Linked DNA regions of Sus scrofa. The protein of the gene in region 2 interacts with the protein of the main gene of each other region in a pairwise test. Links are inferred from orthologs where the notes say so. Each region holds a gene or a part of one and is shown on either strand. Other genes may lie near its edges.

The links.
Region 1: the proteins of ADRB2 (region 2) and VAPA interact in a protein complementation assay, tested with the Homo sapiens proteins (2 studies listed by BioGRID and IntAct, with this or other methods). The link is inferred for Sus scrofa from reciprocal best matches to the Homo sapiens genes ADRB2 and VAPA.
Region 3: the proteins of ADRB2 (region 2) and GPR37 interact in a protein complementation assay, tested with the Homo sapiens proteins (2 studies listed by BioGRID and IntAct, with this or other methods). The link is inferred for Sus scrofa from reciprocal best matches to the Homo sapiens genes ADRB2 and GPR37.

The regions. Positions count from the first base shown.
Region 1 is NC_010448.4:98,219,721-98,223,369, forward strand, and holds part of VAPA (vesicle-associated membrane protein-associated protein A), read right to left. Parts: intron 1,420-3,649; coding exon 1,285-1,419; intron 1-1,284. UniProt on the Homo sapiens protein: Endoplasmic reticulum (ER)-anchored protein that mediates the formation of contact sites between the ER and endosomes via interaction with FFAT motif-containing proteins such as STARD3 or WDR44.
Region 2 is NC_010444.4:150,031,333-150,035,081, forward strand, and holds the start of ADRB2 (beta-2 adrenergic receptor), read left to right. Parts: upstream 1-1,316; 5' UTR 1,317-1,975; intron 1,976-2,230; 5' UTR 2,231-2,463; coding exon 2,464-3,720; 3' UTR 3,721-3,749. UniProt on the Homo sapiens protein: Beta-adrenergic receptors mediate the catecholamine-induced activation of adenylate cyclase through the action of G proteins. The beta-2-adrenergic receptor binds epinephrine with an approximately 30-fold greater affinity than it does norepinephrine.
Region 3 is NC_010460.4:23,018,562-23,022,310, reverse strand, and holds the start of GPR37 (prosaposin receptor GPR37), read right to left. Parts: upstream 2,560-3,749; 5' UTR 1,721-2,559; coding exon 695-1,720; intron 1-694.

The DNA.
Region 1 (3,649 bases), on a different chromosome or scaffold from region 2:
TTATTTTGTACAATTTCCGCTATTCTATATTATTTAGCCTATCTGCAATAATCCCCCTCCATCTATGAGTTGAACTTACTTCTCTGTTTTTTTTTTTTTTCCCAGCCATCTCCAGAATTTCAGTTCCAATATTCTAAGTTATTCCTTTTGGAGATAACTAGAATATGCAAGGGCTTAGGGACTAGACAGAAAGGAAAAGGTAAAATATAAGGCAAAGTAGGGTTTTGCAATGAAACCTTGGGAGGAACAAAGGAACAAAAGAATATAAACCTGGGGTACATTCTCGTGACTCCTGTATGAGCAAGGGATCAAATGTCTGTCCAGGGAAGCAAAGCCAAGAGCTATGGTAGGAAATTGTCAGGAGGCTCAAATAAGTCCTTAACGTGGGAAGAGGTTGTATTTGAATAATAAAGTCACTCAAGATACATTTTTACTCTAAACAACCCACTTACTCTTTGTCTCTAGAATCATGATTCCCAGAAGTAAATAACTAAAATCACAAAATTTTTAAAGTATTAGATATTTAGAAAAAGGATCAGATTTTTTAAAGCCTTAGTATGCATATTCTCTGCAAAGCCAAATCAAAGTATAAGCAACCTGCTCAAACTGTGGGGTTCCTGAAGCTCCCAGTAAGCAAGAAATGATAACGGAATCGCAACGACCATGACACCACCAAAAAGTCACAGTCATCTTACTGTGACTGCAGTCATTTCACTTGAGTGAATGTTAAGTGTACACACACAAAAACATTAATAAATTCAAATGTGACCTAAGATCTTTAGGGCTTTTGCCACAAATTCTCCTACCCTGGGGCATTGCAAATAACTAAAGTGACAGTTAAAGAAGGCTTCCTATTATTTGTACTTGGTAAGAAAACATAAGCAGTAATCTCATTTATCTTTTTAACACAAACACAAATACTTGCCTGGAGAACAGTATTTGCCAGCCAGCTCCGACCTTTACTGCTGCTCTACCCAAGTCTTTTTTAGACTAAGCTCCCCGGATCTCAGTGACAGGAAAGATTATACCAATTTCATAATAATGTTCACACATCCTGCTCACTACTGAGATTTTAGTGTTAAATTATTTTAGAACAGAATTTAGCCTGTAGGCCTGAATTTTCAAATGATTTGTTCTACTATAATTTTAAACATAGTTGAAAATTTCAATTCGAATTACTTCACATAACACAGTTAATAAATACCACGTTCGTGTCAGGCGACTCCATTAACATGACCAGTAACACTAGTAGACCCCTGAATCTGTTAGCTCCCTAGAACAAACCTTCTGCTTCTCCTGTTTGAACACACTGAGTCCCCTGGGCTCACTCTTCGTGCTATAACTGGCAGGTGCTGCGACTGTGCTGGTGGTGGTGCTCAGTGGAGTGGCAGCCAGAGCAGTCCCCGGCGGGGCGGTACCCTGAGAGCAGGGGAGACAAGGCTCAGGTTCACACCAGACTCTGACTCCTCCTGCGTGGGACTGGGAACGACTAACACAGAGATCATTAGGCTCCAAAACATTCATGGGAGTCTACAAAAATGCATCACGCTTAAGAAATAATACATAATAGCTATGTTAAATAAAGCAAAAGTACATTCTGAGTTTTATATAATATTTCCCAAACAAAATCAGCTATGATCAACTTGCATTATGTTCACTACCTAAACGTATATTTTTAAAAAGGTATTAAAACTTATGCAAGCCTCATTTTGTCCTAAAATGAATACCTTCTGTGTGGCTCTTAATTTTCGTTACTAATCAATACTTGCCAATACCTGAAAAACAAGCATTTCATATTTTCTTACCTTTGATAACACTCAACCTGAACAATTTTGAAGTTAAATCAATTTTCTCAAGGGTTCAAAAATCAAAATGATTTATAAATGTCTCCCAACACATCCTCCCAACACACCCCCCCTCCCCACTACCTACCTCCCAGGATCAATAGAGATACATATTACATACTAGAATACCATTATTATCTCCACAGTTTTCTTATCTTCTAAAATTCCTTTAATACACAAAAAATATTATACAAAAAGGTTGGAACAGACTCTGAAATAATACTTACTGATATTCATATCACTGCACATAACTAAGAGAATTCCATCTTACGTAATACTGCACTGGCCCAAATCTGCTCTTTGTGGCAATAGAAAATAACGTACATTTAATCATAAAAAGTCTCTATACATGGGACCCTGAAATTTCCTATTCTTGACAGTCCTTCAGTCTTCATTAAGAAAAATCAGTTTTTTCTAGAAAGTATGTAATTAGTAGATGTTAAATGGAGGGCATTTAAAACTTGGAAAATGTACACTGTAAGTCAACCATACTTTAATAAAAAAAAAATTTTTAGAAAATGTCAAGTAGAATTGGTGGCCTAAAATAAACTCAAAAATATTTATTTCAACCTAAAGAAGTGAACAGGTAGATAAATCATAAATAAAAAGTTAGTTAAAACCACACTCAATCTTGAAAAAATACCACCAGTAATTGGACATTAGATTTCACAATACAGAGTTGATAATAACTGAAAAGGACTAATAATTCAGAGAACTCTGTAAAATATCAGATAGTCAACGCTTTGGTATCATCTTTGCCCAGCTATCAACAGCCCAGGCAATGTGCTGAATGGCTCTCAGGAGCAGCACTGAACAAACTCAACTGACGTCTGTGGGCCATTAACATCTAGTCAAAGAGCTGCTCTTCCCCAGGATGAGGGAGACCCCACATTTTAGTGCCTAAAGGTAGTGTTGTCCAGGAATAATTATTAATAGTACCTCCTTTTACTCTAAAATAAAAGGGTCTTTTTGGACTCCTAGGTTACTCAACATATGATCCAAATCAGAGAGATATTTCCCCAAAGGAGGCCATATTCTAATGACGATTCAAATATATAAATAAGTTCAAATCACACACAAAAAAATGACTTCTTTAAATTATAAAAATAAAAACAGACTCAACCACTATACTTCTAAAGCTGGCACATTTCTTACCCTATAAGATGACCAAGAACTTTAATCATCTTGGCTACACATTCAGTATCGAAGTCCTAAAAAACCTAAAGAAATCAACAACATAATAATATACCCTTTCCAACTGTTTTTAAAAAGACTAAATTAAATGCCCAAGAACAGAATACCTAAAAAGACCCCGATCCTCAAAGAGGTATGGTATTTTTACCTTAAACTAAACGCCTACTTCTTTTGGAGGGTATGGGGAGGTGAGTGAGAGTGGGATGGGGCACTTCGCATAAGAAACACTGAGTCAACATCACCAAGTTTAAGACTTGCTACCTGTGACTGACTGTGAGAAGGCATCAACAACTAGGACAGCTACTGTGTGTCTATCTGCTTTGGGTACTAACCACACTTTTCTAAGTCGACAACAGAAGGTCATAAATTCTGATGATTAACTCCTTAGAGTAAATGTGCAAAGGACCACTAACTCAACAGGAGCGTCTCTGCTGTGCTCAACTCTAAGGCTGAACACAGAGTGCATGAGCCCTCTGGAGAGAGCTGCGTCCTAAAGCACAAGTTGTCGCCAACAACTTAGTTTAAAACTAAAGTTTGCTTAAATTAACACTGTTTAAAACATTTTCATTAACAAAAAAACTGAAATAAATGAACCAAGGGCCAAACTATGT
Region 2 (3,749 bases):
TAACCCTACTTGAGTGAAGTTTTTACTTGCAAAAGCACTATCTCATTTATCATTACATCATTTGGTTCTCATTTAGCTCAAAAGAAGCAACTTTATTGCACATTTAGACATAGAGGAAATTAGGCTCCAGATTTTGGATTTGCCTAAGGAATGTGAGCTAGAAAGAAACTGGAATGCAGTATTCCAATTCCAGTTGTAATCCTTCTCTACCCTCCACTCTGTTCTGCACATGGTAAAGCAGTACATTGAAAGGATTAAAAAAGAGATTTTAGAATCAGGGAGAACTGGGTTCAGCTCCTGCCTGGCATTGCCAGGCTGTGCCTGTGGGCAAGCTATTCTCCTCTTCCAGCCCCCTTTGTGAATTAAATTAAAAATAACTATCCGCCCCACCCACCCCAGCACACACACCACCAGGCGACTGTGGGAAGGATGAAATGGAATAATGCATGAAAAGCACATAGCAGAATGTTTCATAAATGTTAGCCATTGTTAAGTTATTATGTAATCTAGAAAATATGTTTGGTTACACTGAGTGAAACACTTTCAGTTCTTCAAAGACACTACTAATACATGTAAAAATCAAACCCTGAAAATTAATTTCTTTTTAACAGTGAAGTCACATGCCAGATGCAAAGGCTAATATTTCATGGAAAATGACCTCGTCTGAAGCTTGGTCTGACTTTTTTAAGAAAAAATACCTTTTCCTTTCTGTGGTTTCAAACCTTTTTTTTTTTTTTTTTTTTTTTTTTTTTTTGTCATTTTGCCATTTCTTGGGCTGCACCTGCGGCATATGGAGGTTCCCAGGTTAGGGGTCTAATCGGAGCTGTAGCTGCCAGCCTACACCAGAGCCACAGCAACGCTGGATCTGAGCCACATCTGCGACCCACACCACAGCTCATGGCAACACCGGATCGTTAACCCACTGAGCAAGGCCAGGGATGGAACCCGCGACCTCATGGTTCCTAGTCGGATTCGTTAACCACTGCGCCACGACGGGAACGCCTCAAAACATTTTTAATGTTACACATTCTTAGTAATGTGAACCATAATAAATTGCCATGTTTTAGAAGCAGAGATTATAGAATAGCAGCAATTTCATATGGCTCGGATCACCAAACTACCCAGCAGATGATTTTTCTAGTTGCCCAGGCATGAATGAAGTAGAGCTTCAAAGAAAAATTATTCTATTTTCAGTACATTTTCACTTGAACAGATAATGAAGGAGTGATGCCACACTCACTAGAATTAAAATTAAAGCATACAACTTTCTCTTTCTGTCCCCAAACACACGCATGGATAGCCCAGGTCTGAATGAAATCCCAAGCGTAAAAGCCTGTCTCAGTGCCTGCAGATTCCCAAGGAGAGCACCGAAAGTCCTTGACAGCGAGCGAGCTGAGGAAATGGGCAGCTGCTGAAGTCACCTCCTGAGGTCTCGCCAAATGTTTGAAAGGGAATATGCGAAATGTCCGCATGCTGGGGAGGAAAGGACGGAGATCCAGGGTGCCGGAGAAGGGTTTGTAGAACATGGGTGGGGACGTCCTTGGCTGTGACTCCCGGCTTGCCTCCACGTGGCCCTTAGTGTGTTGTTTACTTCTTTTCGTGTGTGCCTATGACTTTGTGGTTCTGGGTGCTGCTGGGTTTGTTCCTGACCACGTCTCTGCGTTAGTTAAGGTTGACTTTGCGCCGATTTGCTTGTGTGTGTGTGTGTGTCCGTGCGCGCACGCGCGTGTGCTTGTCGGTGTGCTGGATGGGTGTGTCTGCGTGTCGGTGGCTGTGGCTCCGTCTAAGTCCGTGCACGTCTGCCAGGTGAATTGTGCCTGTCCGTGCGTGTCCTGGCGGGCACTCTCATTCTCGTCTATTTCCGAATAGGAGGGAGTGCCTGCGCACTACCCTCTGCCCAGGGTCCTCAGGCCTCACGACAAGCCCGGGCAGGCAGGTAGCAGCCACAGAAGACTGCGCAGCTCCCAGCTCGCTGGTAAGCGGCACCCCCCAACTTCAGCTTCAGCCCTGGGGCCAGCCTGGGTAGCCTGGAGGGAGTGGCGACCGGCCGGCAGGGAGCAGCGGGGCCCCGCCCGGGCCAGCCCCAGGAGGAGGCGGGAGAGGGAGGGAAGGGGCGGGGGGGGGGGGGGGGGCCTCGCCCCTTTGGGGCTTCCCGCGCGCCATTGGTCCCAAGTTGGAGCACGTCACGGGGAGGGCAGTTCCCCTCAAGTCCTGTGCACATAACGGGCAGCGCGCACTCCGAGGCGGCTTCTCCGGAGCGCAGGCAGAGACCCGCCGGCACTGCGAGCCTCGAGCACCCCGGGAGCTGAGTGCACCACGCGCCCCCTCCACACCCACCCCACGGCCGCTGAATGAGGCTTCTAGGCGCCCGCTCGCTGCCCGCAGCCCCCCGCCGGAGGTCGGCCCGCTGAGGCGCGGCGGGTGCGCCGGCTGCCAGCGCGCTCACCTGCCCGCCTGCGCGCCATGGGGCAGCCCGGGAACCGCAGCGTCTTCTTGCTGGCGCCCAACGGAAGCCATGCGCCGGACCAGGACGTCCCACAGGAGCGGAACGAGGCATGGGTGGTGGGCATGGCCATCGTCATGTCGCTCATTGTCCTGGCCATCGTGTTTGGAAACGTGCTGGTCATCACAGCCATCGCCAAGTTCGAGCGTCTCCAGACGGTCACCAACTACTTCATCACCTCCCTGGCCTGTGCTGACTTGGTCATGGGCCTGGCGGTGGTGCCCTTTGGGGCCAGCCACATCCTCATGAAAATGTGGACTTTCGGCAGTTTCTGGTGCGAGTTTTGGATTTCCATTGACGTGCTGTGCGTCACGGCCAGCATTGAGACCCTGTGCGTGATCGCCGTGGATCGCTACCTTGCCATCACGTCCCCCTTCAAGTACCAGTGCCTGCTGACCAAGAACAAGGCCCGGGTGGTCATTCTGATGGTGTGGGTCGTGTCGGGCCTTATCTCCTTCTTACCCATTAAGATGCACTGGTACCAGGCCACCCACCGGGAAGCCTTAAACTGCTATGCAGAGGAGGCCTGCTGCGACTTCTTCACCAACCAGCCTTACGCCATCGCCTCTTCCATCGTGTCCTTCTACCTGCCCCTGGTAGTCATGGTCTTCGTCTACTCCAGGGTCTTTCAAGTAGCCAGAAGGCAGCTCCAGAAGATCGACAAGTCTGAGGGCCGCTTCCACGCCCAGAACCTCAGCCAAGCGGAGCAGGATGGGCGGAGCGGGCCGGGACATCGGAGGTCCTCCAAGTTCTGCTTGAAGGAACACAAAGCCCTCAAGACGCTAGGGATCATCATGGGGACGTTCACCCTGTGCTGGCTGCCCTTCTTCATCGTCAACATTGTGCACGGGATCCATGACAACCTCATCCCCAAGGAAGTTTACATCCTGCTAAACTGGGTGGGCTACGTCAACTCGGCGTTCAACCCCCTCATCTACTGCCGGAGTCCAGATTTCAGGATGGCCTTCCAGGAGCTTCTGTGCCTGCACAGGTCTTCCCTGAAGGCCTATGGGAACGGCTGCTCCAGCAACAGCAACGGTAGGACTGACTACACAGGGGAACAGAGTGGCTGTTACCTGGGGGAGGAGAAAGACAGCGAACGGCTGTGTGAGGAGCCCCCAGGCCCGGAAGGCTGTGCACACCGGCAAGGTACTGTGCCCGATGATAGCACTGATTCACAGGGGAGGAACTGTAGTACAAATGACTCCATGCTGTGATGCAGGTGTCTACTTTCTAAGCGCCCCTT
Region 3 (3,749 bases), on a different chromosome or scaffold from region 2:
GTTATTTTTGCTTAGGCCCATTCATACAAAGTATATAAAATTCTTACAAAATTGAGAAGGGGATAAAAAAGAGAAATAGAAACGACATAAGAATTTAGATGGCGTGGCATGGCAGACAGCCAAAGACGCTTAAACTAATTTGGGATGTTACTAATATATTGAGGTCAAGTGCCAAACAAAGAAAAGCAGATATCCTCTGTTAAATAAAATATTACTCCAATTTTGATATTTAAGAAAAAATGTAATAATCTTCTTGGGGAAGAAATCCTGTTGGAGCACTAGAAACCTAGCAGACAAATAATACACATTTTTTTTTCTAGTAATGACAATCATGGACGGACTACTTATTAACCCTAGAATCTCCAACAGATTCCAAATCATAAATATACAAAACCATATTTAGAGAGATCAATTTAAAACCTAAGCAATCCCATATATTACGAGTTCATAATTATTTCACAATTCAGGAGTAGGTGAGTTTGAAGGTGAGTGGCCAAACTGCTTGGGTCCACCCCTGTGCCCAGGATATAAATGCCAAAATGTGTATAAATGATTGGCAAGAGAAATAGGGGAGGGGCTCAGAGAAAAAGTGAAGAGGTTCAGCAGGCAGGTAGGTGCCTGGAGCAGCAGTTTTGATGCTGTAAATCCCAGAAAGGAATAAAGCCAGTAGCTTGAGACCCCCGGGAAGGCATACCTCTATATAGGGCACGATCTTGCAGGAGAAGTCCTCCAGCAGCCACTTCTTGGTCAGCTCATGAAAGATGACGAGCGGAAGGCAGAAGAAGATGATGAGAAAGTCCCAGAAAGCCAGGTTGGCCAAGAGAGAGTTGGAGATGCTCCGCATGTAGTAGTTGTGACACACGATGCACATCACCGCAAGGTTGCCAATGATGCCAGTCCCGAAGATCACCACCGACAAACACATGACCGCATAGGCTCCGTAGGACTCCTGGGTCAGCGGGTAGAACGGGTTCTTCAGTTGCAAGCGCGGATTTGTGCTGTTGCCCCGGCGGGGACCCCCGCGTTCGTGAACTCCTTCAAGCGAGGACCCATTCTGAGCCAGCGCCCTGCCGGGAGGTGCAATTGTCCGCCCTTCGTGCCATGATGGTCCATTGACCATCTTGGGTTGGGGGTCGTGGTGGGAACCCTGGAGTTTCCCGGTTCTCCTTGGCCAGTAATAAAGGTCGCCGGCTCCGGGTTCTGTCCTCACACCTTGCTCCTGGCTGCGCCCGGAAATGCCAGCGCTTCTGGGACCCTTATCCTTCTCCTCTGCGGTGTGAGGGAAGAGTTGGAGAGCCCTGGGGTTCCCTCTCCCCAAAGTTTCAGGGGGCTCCTGACTTCGGGCACCTTTCCACCTCCAGGCGCCAGGTGGCCTGCCGGGAGGTCCCGAGGGCTCCGCCGCCGCCGCCCCCGCCCCTCTGCCCGCACCTGGGTCACTGCGCCTGGCCTCCAGTAGGTCCCACGAGGGCGCTGAGAGCACCGCTGCCGCCTGCTCCTTCTCCATGGGCGCACCGGTTGGCAGAAGGTCTCCTGCCGAATTTCCCGGTCCCCAGGCGTCCCTGCTGCGACGCTGGATCCGTGTAGATGAACCGCTTTCCCCCAGAAAATGTTCGTTCCTGGGCGCAGGGGCGGACCCGAGGGCAGGAGAAGCAGAAACCTCGAGCAAAAGCAGAAGCAGCAGTCGCGAGGTGCGGGCGAGAGGTGCGCCGGGGGCCCGCATGGCTGGGCGAGGGCGCACCCGGCGGCGGTGGCTCCTGCTTAGGACCGACACCTGCTGCCCAAGTTGCAGCTGAGAGTTAGACACATGTCACATACTACCCCCGCCCCGGCAGCGAGGAACCGGAGATTACCGGGCGGTTGGGGGATGGGGCTTGGGGGGGTCACAACCCTCCCCCTCTACAAGCCTTGGTCGTTTGGCATCCGTGCATTTCTCAGCCACATCTACCCCGAGCGCTGCGTATCTCCAAGGTTCAGAGAGGGATTCGCTGTACCCGGTGGCTGACCTTGAAAACTTGCAACCAACAACACCTGATTGTTGATTAATGTAGCAACTGGGTACAGCCCGGACGAAGCCCCACGCTTCTCCCTGCCTTGGGGTGGTAGCCTTCTTGGTAACAGTTGCTCTGCCTATTTATGTCCTTTGGTTACTGCGTTCTCCAGCTGCAAGCCGCGGTCGCTCAAGGGAAAGAAAAACAAGTTCCCATCCTTCAGATGACTAGTAGGCACAATCCCGCTCCCGCTCGCTGGAAACAGGTTGCAAACAGCCAGATGCCGCGCAGATGCGCCCAGGAAACTCTTGCCCCACCTAACCCCTGCGACTCCCGAGGCTACTGAGGCCGAGAAGAAACGGGATTCGAAACCCGCGGCCACTGCCAAAGTTGTTTCTCCTCTCCTTCAAAGTTGACCAGGGGGCGGCGCGGGCTGCTGGGCGGCGCGTCCCCGAAGAGCAGGGAATCGGTGATGGGGGTGGGGCGGAGAGGGCTGGCGCTGATCCTCGATGTACGGTGCCGGCAGCCGCAGGAGCTTGTTGCGGCGACAGCGGGCGCAGCCCGGGCGGAGAGTGTGGTGCCTGGAACCGCCGCGGGCGAGGCGGTGCATGGCCGGGAAGGGGGAGGTGGCCCGGCCTCTCCCCGCCGCTCCAGCCGCTGCGCGCGCCGGCGAAGCCGAGAGCTCCCCTCCTTGCCGCCTCCCCCTCCTCTGCCTCCTGCAAGAGATGCTGGTTTGTAGGGAGACGGGATCCCCTGGTGGCTTACGACTCACTAAACCCACATGCGTTTCATTCAGGCCTTTTGTAGCGGCTCTCACTCGTAGGAGCTGGAAGCCGCGAGGGAACAAGGGCGGAGGCGCGGAGCCTGCGCGGCTCAAGGCTTGGGATGGGCGGGACATGTTAATTCCCCAGCTGTCGGAACCCGCCCGACCGGTCCCAGAGCCCGGTTGCGGGAAGAGGGGGAGAGGCTCATGCGTTCGCTTCAGATCCTTTGTGGCCTCTGTGCGTGCCCAGGCCTGGGTACGGAGGGAGTGGTGAGGTGGAGGGCTCACCTCCTTCATTTTCCGAGAGGTGAGGAGGGGGGGGGGGAGGAAGCTCAGAGGCTTCTTATCATAAAATAATGAACACTTCCGGGAGTGGGACACAGTGAGGATGCTCAGGATACACCATCAGCTGAGCAACACTGAGTCAGGAGGCATCCTGTCAGGGGTTACTTTACTTTAGGACTGCTCAGAGCACAAGGAAAGTAGTTTTGCTGGATGAAGTAGTGGGAAGTGACAGGTAGGGGGACATTAACTTGAACAGAACTTCCAGTATGGCTGACCAGGCCTGTCCACCCTTCATACTGTAAAACCCCACACTCCTGCCACAGCTTTCAGGGAATAGCTAATACAACAAGTATCGGATCAATTGATTAAGCGAGAGTAAGTGATAGAGGAAGAAATAAACACATTTTGAACAAAAGGGAACATCTAGAGAGACAGGAGAAAATGCAACGAGAAATAATGTGGATTGTGATAGCAGAATAAATGGCCTTCCAAAAGATGTTCACATGCGAATGCCTAATACCTGTGAAAATGTTTCTTTACATGGCAAATGGGACTTTGGAGATGAGATTCAGTTAAAGATCCTGAGATGGGGAGAGTGTCATGGATTATCCAAGTGGGTCCATTGAAGTCACCGGGGTCCTTACAAGAGGGAGGCAGAAGGGTCTGAGTGAAGCGACACCCTGAGCTAGGGGACTGCTGGAGGTCTCCAGAAA